Linked DNA regions of Drosophila melanogaster. The protein of the gene in region 2 purifies or fractionates together with the protein of the main gene of each other region. This does not show direct contact. Each region holds a gene or a part of one and is shown on either strand. Other genes may lie near its edges.

Region 1 (3,754 bases), on a different chromosome or scaffold from region 2:
TCTGGTGTCGTTGCGGTTGATGAAGCCGTAGCCGCTCTTCACGTTGAACCACTTGACGGTGCCGGTGACTTTGGTGGCTGCAATGGGAAAGAGTAGAAATTATAAACAATTGGGGATAATAGTGGGATTCAATATTTTTGGCGGTACTTATTCTACAAACGTGTGATCATTTAATTGATTTCAATGGTATAATACTTGTTTGGGATCAGTTGCAATCATTCCTTTATCAAATATTATAATCCTTTAAACATTATACATGCAACAAAAATATTAGGGAACAGTAGGGATGCACAGCGAGCTGACTTCTAAAATACAAATAATTCTACATAAGAAACTTAAATTATACAAAAGGGGTAGTTTTGAGATAATACTTTGCATTTTTTTTTTATTATAAAGGAGGGGCAAAACGCAATACATCTGAAACTAAACTAATACGCAGTTTGAAAACTCATTGAAGCGTGCAATAACATTGAAAGACGTTTTATAACCACAAATTATTGGTTAACAATTATTTAAAACTATGGTTACCAAAATTTCGAATAAACCATATAAGTATGCATATAATATGTTGATTTACGCGAAAATATAGTGGCATCCCAAATTATTTGGCAATATATTGTAATAGTCGCCGAATATTATTGTATCTTATTGGTTGCATTATGGTCTCGTGTTTTGAAATCGCCTTATAGCCATGCTTCCATGCGTTTTAGTGTGTGTGTGCAAATAGATGTACCAAAACAATGAACACACACATCCACACCCGGCTGTCTGCCCTCTCGTTCGCACTCCCGCTGCGCGCGCATTAACAAATTGGGTTGCCCTGGCTCGCTCTGCATGTGTGTATGTGTGTGTGTGTGTACACCTATGGGGGGGCATTTTTTAAAGAGGCGAAGCGGGTGGGGTTGGTGGTTGGGTGGGTGGAAAGACAGACGACCGGCAAAAGGCAGAATTTTCAATTTGGTTAGCCGGCGGCGCGAGCGTTCGTGCACATACATATATACATGCGTTGCGTTGCCTTTGGCCGCACAAAATGGCCGACGCGCGTATATTTTAAGACTCAAAACACACACACACACACGCATACAGGGAGGCATGTTTCTTGTTCTTTTTTCCTCCTTTTTTTCATTGCTATTTTGGTAGCAGCCGCCATGTGTTCGCGGCACATGAATGAAATTGGTTGGGAATTGGGTTTAACATGCGAGTTTCAGCCTTACCGATGACTTCCTTGGTGGGCGGAGCGGGCTGGCCCTGCTGTCCCTGCAGCTCGTCCAGCGGCTCCTGCTCGTGATCCTGCTCCTGCGGATTCGGCGGATTCTGCTGCTGCTCCGGCTGCTGCTGCGCCTGCTGCTGTTCGGCGGCCAGTGGCTTACTCTCCGCGGCATCAGCCATCGTTTGTCGTGGTTTTGTTATTTGTTGTTCGGCGACGACGAAAACGAAAAGCGGGAAATGCTGCTGCTGCTGTTGATGATGGTGGTGCTGCTGCTGCTGGTGTTGTTCGTGTCTGCCCGGCTGGTATTCGGGGTCTTGGGCACTCTCTCAACTGCCACTAACCACTTTGGATGTTGTTTTTGAGTGTGATCTTAAAACACTCGCCACTCGCAGGGTTTTCTTTGCCTTAGCGATTCTATTTTGTTCGCAAGCTCCGGAAGTGAAACATGACAGCCGGAGGCAGGGTTGCTGGTGATCGGACTATCGATGGGTGCTATCGATGCTCTGATACTGGGGGTCTCCAGTGTGCTGTTACGCGCGGAATGTTAAGCCATAACAACATAAAAAGCCGTTACATTTAAATTTACAAGAAAGGTTAATTGGAATAAATGGTTAAATTCATTAAATGGTTAGAATAATATAAAACTACAGTTTTATCATTAAAATGTATAAAACAACATGTCCAACTAAACAGCGGTGAAATTTATTGAAAACTTAGTATAGTATTTACAATAACAAACATATATGTACCTTTTATTTAGTAATTTTTAATATTTTTAGTTAGCTTGTTCTAGCTTCAACCGCATTCCGAAGTGTCTGTCTCCGCCAAAACCAATGAGCGTGCTCCACTGCAAATCCCAAGCAGCTTATGCCAATCCCCACGGACCAGAGATAGAAGGCGCCCTGCAGGATGTCCAGAGTGAGAACCACCTTTTTGTTACGAATCGCCAACTCGTTGGAGCCGGAATCCGTGTCCGTCTGGTCGCCCAGATCCTCGAGAAACTCCTCAGCATCCGGCGACGCACCAACCCGGGTGATCAGATCCATTTGACGCCAGTGCTCAAAGAAGCCGTGCTCGAGGAAGCCACTGTACAGAGATTCCAAGCGGTGCAGAAAGGGCGATCCTCTTGGTAGGATGTAGGTGCATATCATAGAGCGCAGATATTCCCGGGCGATGTGGTAGGCTGGTCGCTCTGCCTGCGAGTCATAGGTGATGGCCAGAAAGTCACGGGCGTGAAAATCCCGCATGATAAAGGCCGCTCGTCGATCCCTGCGCCGGACCACCGGCTGGTAATAGGATGTGGCTATTCCCAGTGGCAGCTGGCGACTACGGTTCTCCAGCAGACCGTATTGGTGCTCCGTCAGGGCGCTCCTAACTGCGTCATACATCGTGGTCACCGCATAAATGTGCACATCCAAATGTACCAAATCGTCCACTCGGTCCACCTGCTCCTCGTAGCTTGGTCGCACAAATCCGGACTCCAGTTTGGCAAAGTAGATGGTGGACAGGACGTAGCTGAAGAGGATCCAACCCATGAGGAACGTTCTCATCGAGCTGAAGGAGGATAGCCTGCCCGCCGGTTCACCCACATGTGTCTTGCCGAACATCTCGAGAATCTCATACCACGTTGCCTGAAACTGGATGACTCCGCGACGGGGAATTCTTCGCTGCAGACGTTGCATCACCCAGAAGACCAGCACCACAACCAAAAGGGTGACCAAGAGCAAGTACCACACAGTTCGCCGAAAGACACGCACGAAGATCAGGTACTCCGGCTGGATTGCGGAGGCGGGCACGACCAGGTGCAGGTTGCGACGGGTATAGGGATACAGCACCTCAACCGCTGGCCAAATGCAGTCGAGCACGAAGCGGGAATTGGGTGCAAAGTGGGTGTGACCACCGACTATGTCGCTGACCACGCCGGTGTAGTTTCCATTCGGAAGGCAACGACCGTAGGATTCGTTATCCTCCGGGAAGACATATGTTACTGAGGCATTCAACATCTCGCCAACAACTCGGGCCGCCACTCCATCCACTGCCTGATAGCCAGCTGTCTCCACAGGACTCCTGGGCATCGCCATCAACGGATCCGTAAACATGGAGAAACGCAATGGGTAGCCGCGCAAGTCCTTCACCTTTCTTGCGTACGGCACTTCGCCATCCAGCCGCTGAATCACTTGGAGACCACCCCAAGCAAAGGGATCAAAGTCAAAGGTGCCATTTTCCCTGCCGGTAATGGCCAATCCGTAGAGCAGCTTCTTGGCCCAACTGCCGCGAAAAAGTCGCAGTAACTGATGCCTTCCGGCATTTGGCCAAACAAACAGATACTTGTGCATATGCTTGCGCCTCTGGTGAGGATTCAACATGTCCAGGATGCGGCGTACCAAGGAATCACCCTTTTCGGCAGCCGGAATTTGAAAGATGCTTAGGCTGTCCGTTCGTCTAAATGGTTCCAGCTCATGTGCTTCCATGTTCCGTGTGATTACGGGCAGTCTACTGCCCACACACCGATAGAGATCCAATTCCAAGGCAGAGTAATCCGCA
Region 2 (3,754 bases):
CGACACCGACGACGATCCCGATGCCTACCAGTGCGTGGTGTCCTTCGAGGGATACGGCAAGAACCTGACCACGGTGGCCACGTCCGCGGCGGCGGGCAGGAGCCACGTCGACTTCAGCCTGTGGCTGTTTTGTTTTCTGTACTACCTGCTCTGCAAGCTGAAGGTATTGGCCTAAATAAAAGCGTTGTTATTTATTGTTACTAAATTAATGTTTATTGAATTCTGTTTGCCATTCAACTACCTTTTCTACGCCCCTTCGGCCTAGTTAACCATTTTGTAAATAAATACGAATACTTCACAAAACCAACTACGTTAGTTAACTCTTAAGGTTGCTCTGGAAATGGATGCCGTCCTTCTCCGGCGGGGCTTCTAGATTTTAAATCTACGACTGCCCTTGTCGGCTTACAGCTATTACATTTTGTAAATTAACTCGGCTTGAACTCGAACTCCATGCGAACAAATGAAAATATGGGCTGCAATTCGGAAATGTTGAATATTTCTGTTTATTGATATGTGGAGCTGGAGTCCAGCAGTAGATTGGAACAGCCGTTCAGGTAGGCCTTGTGCAGCTTGTTGGCAAACTCCTTATCGTTCTGGATAAGGTACGTGAAGGCCTGGACGAACTGCGTCGAGTTCAGCAGTGGCTGCTGTGGCTGCTGTGGCTGCTGTGGCTCCGGATTGCCGTTGTTGGGCGCGTCGAACATGGTGGGCGGCATGAGGGCCGGCCCGGGCTTGTCGCCAGCCAGCAGTCTCCGCAAGCACTTGCCGGCATCGTCGTTGGCCATCAGCGCCGACGAGGACGGGGCGACTGTCGGAGATTGAGCCGTAGCGTAGCTTTTACCGATCTTCAGGTCGCTCAGGAGCTGAATGTTAAGCTGCTGCATCTTCTGGAAGGGCGACAGCCGGCTCTCGTGATTGTCCCTGCCTGCCGGGGGCAACAGATCCTCGCCAGGCGTGGCTGCCCGCTGCTGTTTCTCCAGCTGGTCCACGGAGAGCGGCTGGACGCGGTGGAACAGTGACTCTGCCGTGGCCTGCTTGGCCGATTCGAAGAACTTCAACACATTGCCGGCCGTTACGTTCTCCGCCGAAGGCGTCTTCGGCTGCCCGCCGCTCACCTGGGCATTGTAGTCCTTCTGGGCCTTGGTCAGCATGTTGAATATGCTGGCCGGCTGGCTGCTGTCCTGCTTTGGCTGCTGGGGCGCGGAGACGTGACGCTGGGCCTGGCCATTCGTTCCCTGATCCTTGGACTTGAGCAGCCCGTTCACCAAGCCGCTGATGCGGTCGCACTCCTCGCTGTTGTAGAACCAGAAGCCGCGGATGCGCGAGCGCTCGTTGCGGTAGAGCAGGAACGGCGGCTGCGACTGCAGCTCCAGGCTGCCGGTGATGGGCTCCACGAAGGACGTGGTGTTCAGTCGGTTGTTGATGAAGATGCTGTGAAAGGGCTCCGCGTTGCGGTGGTATATGAAGAAGGCTCCCTCCACATCGGTCTTTTCCCACTCGTTCTGCGACGAGTTGAACGTGTAGAAGGCGACGTGCGAGGACGAATCCACGATCTCCTTGGCGTACGGGTCGATCTTCTTGATGGCCGCCAGGTTCATTCGCGTGATGCTCTCGTCGGCCATTGTAAATTGTATGTAATCTTCAGTTTTGGCTGTGCTATTGCGAATTGCAATTATTTGTGAATTTAACGGCGCTCTGGTCACACTGCCCCGTGGATGTTTTCCCGTGTTTATCAACGACTGTGCTGCGGTCACACCGAATGACAATAAACTCTTCCTTTTGTCTATTAATGATTTGTTTGAGAAATATTAAGTCGATTGACTTGCATATAAAAATGGCCACAATTGTACGTAATAATATTTCTCAATTATGTAGCATAAACATTTAATTTATGTTTACTAATAAAATTTTCAACTTCGATAGCATTTCCATTTCAATATATCGATACTGAAGACCAGCTCTAGAAACTGGCGGGAACTAATTGCATTGCAATTTGTATTTATTTGAACACAGAATTGCCACAAAATGCAAAAGTCTATAACGTAATTTACGATTTAACAAATGCTAAGTATTGCCAATCTAACAATCCCCCGTTTCAGCTCCTTCTTCAAGAAGAAATCCGATGCCACCGACAGCCCCTCGCCGCCCAAGAAAGTTCCTAAGTAAATGGTGCCGCTGTTTTCTTGTTTCATTACTAAATTCCTCGACAAATCATAGGATTGATGCGAAGACCGAACTCCCAGATGAACCCCACATCAAGAGCGAAAGTGCCTCCCCGGAAACTAAGCCCAAGGTAGAACCTATGTCTGTGGATTCCGAGGAGAAGACAAGTCCGGTGAAAAATGTTAAGAAGGAACCAAAGGAAGTCGATGACAAGACCACTGACAAGAAGGTCACAACCATAGGTCTCAACTCCACTGCCGCTACTAAGGAGGATGTGGAAAACTACGATCCATCCGCCGACTCCTATCATCCGCTCAAGAATGCCTACTGGAAGGACAAAAAGGTGTAAGTAGTGCAGGATTTTGAGCCTCCAAGGCGAATTATATCAAAGGAAACACTTTCCAGCACTCCCTACTTGGCACTGGCCCGCACATTTCAAGTAATCGAGGAGACCAAAGGCCGGCTCAAGATGATCGACACGCTGAGCAACTTCTTCTGCTCTGTGATGCTGGTCAGTCCGGAGGATCTTGTGCCCAGCGTCTACCTCAGCATCAACCAACTGGCGCCCGCCTACGAGGGACTGGAGCTGGGCGTTGCCGAGACCACCTTGATGAAGGCCATTTGCAAGGCAACGGGGCGTAATTTGGCTCACATTAAATCGCAGACGCAGCTAACCGGGGATCTGGGCATCGTGGCCGAGCAGTCGCGCGTTTCACAGCGCATGATGTTCCAGCCAGCGCCTCTGAATGTGAGGGATGTGTTCCGGAAGCTACGCGAAATAGCCAAGCTATCCGGTCAGTCGAAAATGGACCTGGTGTACAATATGTTTGTGGCCTGTCGATCGTCGGAGGCTCGCTTCTTTATCCGTTCATTGATTGGCAAGCTAAGAATTGGCATTGCAGAGCAGAGTTTGCTCACAGCGCTGGCCATTGGTTTGGTGAAAAAGAACCACATCGATGATTGCAAGGCTAGCAAGGTGCCGGATGTGTATAAGGATGAAATAGTCGACACCACTTTGCTGTTGAAAACTGCATACTGGTAAGAACTAACTTAAGAACCAGCTAATAATTCAGATGCTAACGAACTTTTGCAGTCAGTGTCCCAACTACGATATCATTATACCGGCCATTCTAAAGTACGATATTAAGGAGCTGCAGGAACGCTGCCCCATGCATCCCGGCATGCCGCTGAGGCCCATGCTCGCCCAGCCCACCAAGGGGGTCCATGAGGTATTTGAGAGATTCGGCGGCATGCAAATCACCTGCGAGTGGAAATACGATGGAGAGCGGGCCCAAATCCACCGCAACGAGAAGGGGGAGATCAGCATATTCTCGCGCAACTCCGAGAACAACACGGCAAAATATCCGGATTTGATTGCCAGGAGCACTGCCTTGCTCAAGGGCGACGTAAAGTCCTACATCATAGACAGCGAAATTGTGGCCTGGGATGTGGAGCGCAAGCAGATTCTGCCGTTTCAGGTGCTCAGCACGCGCAAACGGAAGAACGTTGATATCGAGGAAATCAAGGTCCAAGTCTGTGTCTACATCTTCGATCTGCTGTACATCAATGGCACTGCTCTGGTGACCAAAAA
Region 3 (3,754 bases), on a different chromosome or scaffold from region 2:
GGATCAGCGGATCGTCCGCCTCGCTGCCAAAAGTCAGTTGCACCTGTTGCTGCCGCATGCTGCTCTCCCTTCGCACCCTGTTCCGCTTGTTCTTCCCGTTGCCGTTGCCATTTCCATTGGTATAAGAACCATTTCCGGTGCCATTTCCATTGTTATTGGCATTGCCATTCCTTCTTACATTTCCATTTGTATTCCCATAGCTCGAGGCTGCCGTCTGCTTGTAAAATCCATCTCCGTTGCTGACGATATCTATGGGTTTGCTGCTGCCCAACGACAAACCAGTTGCCTCGCCGCTATCTCCGCTGCTGCTGCAGTAACTCTCCCGGGTGTTGCTCACGTAGGAGCCCAGTTTCACCTCGACCTTCGGCGGTATCATGTTGCCAAAAAAGGCGGCCACGCTGTTGGGAGTCGTTGATATCTGCGGCTGCTGCTGAGCGCTGGACGCACGGGATGTTTGTGGTGTTCTGGATGACGAAACAAATATAAAAGTTAGATGAAACCTATTTTAAATACGACGCTCAGTTGGCACAAGACCTATCTGAAACGACTGTTGCTTTTTATCAGTAATAAAGGTAATTTACTCATTTCGTATCTCAAGGTTGGTAAGTTTAAACATAAAGATGGCTTCAAAATGAAATGAAATAAACACAATCGTGCTGACTGCAAAAATCTTCATACTTTTTTTTTTTATAAAGAGCTAACAATTAATTTAAATTATTGGCATTGCACAATCGTTTAATGGGCCATATTACCTAAGGGTGCCATTTGAGCCGTTGGTCTCGATTAGCTTCAGCTGATGCATCTTATCGCTTAGCGCCGAATTGAAGTTGCCACGTGGGCCCGAAGAACTCGATGCTCCGCCAGCCGCTACCCGTCCATTGTCGTTGGCCCTTGACCGCGGCGTCGATGGCAGATCCTGTTCTCGTTCCTGCTCCTGGAACTGCTGTTTCTGTTGCTGCTGGAGTTGTAGCTGCTGCTGCTGCTGCTGGAGTTGGAGCTGCTGCTGCTTGCCCAGGATGTTGGAGAAGTGGGGCAGCTTGACGGGCGTGGGCTTGTTGACCACTGGCGGCGGCGCCGTGTGCCCATCCAGATCTTGCTTTGCGGGCTCGATGAGATCGATGCTGCGAATGTCCGTGCACTTGAGGACCACCTCGGCGTTCTGCTTTCGCAGCGGCACGCCATTGCGGAAAGCCCTCACAATGGTGATCTCCTCGGCAGAAATCTGCTTGATCAGGCCCTGGAAGACGCCCAGGACCTCGTCGCAGGCTATAGACACTGCACAGCCGATCCAGTCTTGATCCGTCGGACCCATGTAATCAGTTTTCGATACTCCCTTTGCGAATGCGACAACACGTTGGATCGGCTTGTTCTGCCCTGGCTAATGGTTGTTCGAAATGTTTGCTGGCCCGCGCAGAGCTGCTTGTTGTTTTCGTTTCTAATACGCAATTTCGCCACTAACTAACTACGCACCACGCACCTCTCTTCCTCTTCTTCCTGCTGCTGCACCGCCGTTGATTCTAGTGTTTTGTGGCTTAAAGTCGGGTGTTTTTGAATTATTTGGCTCTGCGGTCAAGGGGTTCGGTATTTTGTCTCTTTTAATCAATAAATGCACCAACCGTTGCAACACATTGACGCTAAAACTTATTGGATTTCTCGTTTCATTGGGATTTTCACTGCTTGCGTGTGGCCGTTCGTTGGTGTTCAGATAATACCGAACAATACCCAAACTAGCTGCGTGGCAAATTAGTTTACTTAATAAATTTATAATAATATACATATTTATAATAACTACAAATTTCATGCTTTACGGAAACTTCACCTTATTTTGATAAATATTTGGTTCAATAAAAGCCTGCGAGCCATTTTATGAATTTAACAAGTGCTTCCCTTAACTGTTAAGGCTTCTGGGTGCTGTGGTATGTTCTCAGTGCGCGTACACGGTCACTCTGGCAGTTTTGTTCTCGATTTTGTCGCCGTTTTGTGCATTTTTCCCGTCCGGTGTTTAAATTTTATTTAATACTGCGCGTGCGACATATATACAGGCACCTATAGCCGACCGATATCGGCGATTAAGGCATGTGCGCCGCCGAAGCGGTCAAAGTGATAATCGCTTGAATAGTGAGCAGTGTAGAATTTGCCGTGTGATAGAAGTACGTGATGATTTTCCGCAAATAGTGGATAAAGGCGAGCCCACACGCATACCACCGCAAAATATATACATAAATCGGGCGAAAATATAGTGGCCCGTGTTTGTGCGTGTGTAAACGTAAGTGGAAAACTTGGGCGAAACTTTATGCTAACCATAAATGGTCTACAAAGACATGGCTTCGCGCCTGGCTAATTATCAAGAAAATGTTTGGCTTTTGTGCTCTATCACCCACACCTCATTCACACAACACACACACTAGAAACACGCTTGCACGGGGGCAGGGCGGCAGACAGAGATGGCATCTAGCACAAGTACCGTTGTTCACTTTGTTTGCTGTCTTTGTTGTCTGTTCGCTTTTCTTTCCTTCGCTTCTGTACACCCTTCCCCCTCTTGTTACCTTATGGCAGCCTCCTCTTCTTCTTCTTCGTGTCATTTATCGCTTAATTTGCACTTCCGCTTTGCACATATTCACCCTCTCTCCTTCCGTCATTCTTTCATTGCAGAAGCTTCTCTAAAAGAAACAAACAACAACAACACAACAATGTCGGCACGTTCCAGCGGCTTGGTGGCCGCGGCGGCCCTTCCCGTCCCGTCGTCTTCTTCCTCGGTGGCCGGCGGCGACGTGCCACGCCCGCCGCCCCGCCGGCGAGCGGCCTCTGTTGCGGGACAACAGCAAACGCGCCAGGAATTTGGAAATGGTTACACTCCTCGCAGATCGTTGGCAGCAGTGGTAAGTTTACATAAGTGCAGGTGACGACGAAAAGAGAGAGCTTTACCTTGAAGGACAACTTAGGAACTCTTCTAACATCTTAGGAATTTTGTAGGAGCACCTTATGGTTACAACCTTATTTCACAACGCATCCAACTCTGATTGAAAAATTTCATTCCATTTTTGATAAAGCCAGTTAACTAATTATGGGTTATATAAACGCGTATGTATCAAATTAAGTTATCATAACACCAAATAGTGACCGTGGCACCTATATGTTTATCAATTTTTAATAGATAGTAAGGTATTACTTACTATGACATCTTATAAGATACTCTTATCAATTGTTTTGGTTTCGTTGCAAACTGACTAATCAATAAATGTATCTCATTTTAAAGGGCATACCGAAATGTTGTCTTATCAAAACTAAGCCAACCAATTCCTATAACCTTTTATAAGGAATTGCCCACAATGTATCCACCATTTTGTTGGTGTGAAGATTTGAAAAGTATTTATCAACGGGTGGTGCTGGGGGATTTGGTCGCCCTTATCAGTGCCTCCGCTGTATTTAGTGTTTCCATTTTTACGATGTTTTCACTACTAATCTAATCTGCAGATTGCCAAACAGCTGAGTCGTGTAGATGGGCCATGTAGATTTCACTCCCCTCATGGATGATAAAGTGGGATATATGTATGGTGGGAAAAGTAGGGGATCTACAATTCCTTCAGAAGCCGAAAAGCACGAAAAACTTACGAACTGTTCTTATCCAATACCTAGCTTTTACGGTGTAAAGGTCGTTGCATTTCGTCAACCATTAAGTTAGATGTAGTTGTATTTCAGGAGTGACTTCCATAAGTCTTTTTTTAGGAGGGCCTTTAATACAGCACATTACATT

What was found.
Region 1: the proteins of DCP1 (region 2) and yps purify together in Drosophila melanogaster (affinity purification with western blotting, with the first as the bait; one study listed by BioGRID). This does not show direct contact.
Region 3: the proteins of DCP1 (region 2) and Edc3 purify together in Drosophila melanogaster (affinity purification with western blotting; 3 studies listed by BioGRID). This does not show direct contact.

What each region holds. Positions count from the first base shown.
Region 1 is NT_037436.4:12,123,498-12,127,251, forward strand, and holds the start of yps (ypsilon schachtel), read right to left. Parts: upstream 1,654-3,754; 5' UTR 1,390-1,653; coding exon 1,215-1,389; intron 78-1,214; coding exon 1-77. Other genes in the region: Ir68b (ionotropic receptor 68b), read right to left, coding at 1,990-3,754.
Region 2 is NT_033778.4:23,888,571-23,892,324, forward strand, and holds DCP1 (decapping protein 1), read right to left. Parts: upstream 1,707-3,754; 5' UTR 1,623-1,706; coding exon 504-1,622; 3' UTR 194-503; downstream 1-193. Other genes in the region: CG5597 (uncharacterized protein), read left to right, coding at 1-175; DNAlig1 (DNA ligase 1), read left to right, coding at 2,026-2,042, 2,100-2,162, 2,218-2,508, 2,569-3,201, 3,257-3,754.
Region 3 is NT_037436.4:17,528,157-17,531,910, forward strand, and holds the start of Edc3 (enhancer of decapping 3), read right to left. Parts: upstream 1,706-3,754; 5' UTR 1,313-1,705; coding exon 753-1,312; intron 685-752; exon of another isoform or gene 544-684; intron 465-543; coding exon 1-464. Other genes in the region: Nedd4, read left to right, coding at 2,691-2,879. UniProt on the Drosophila melanogaster protein: In the process of mRNA degradation, may play a role in mRNA decapping.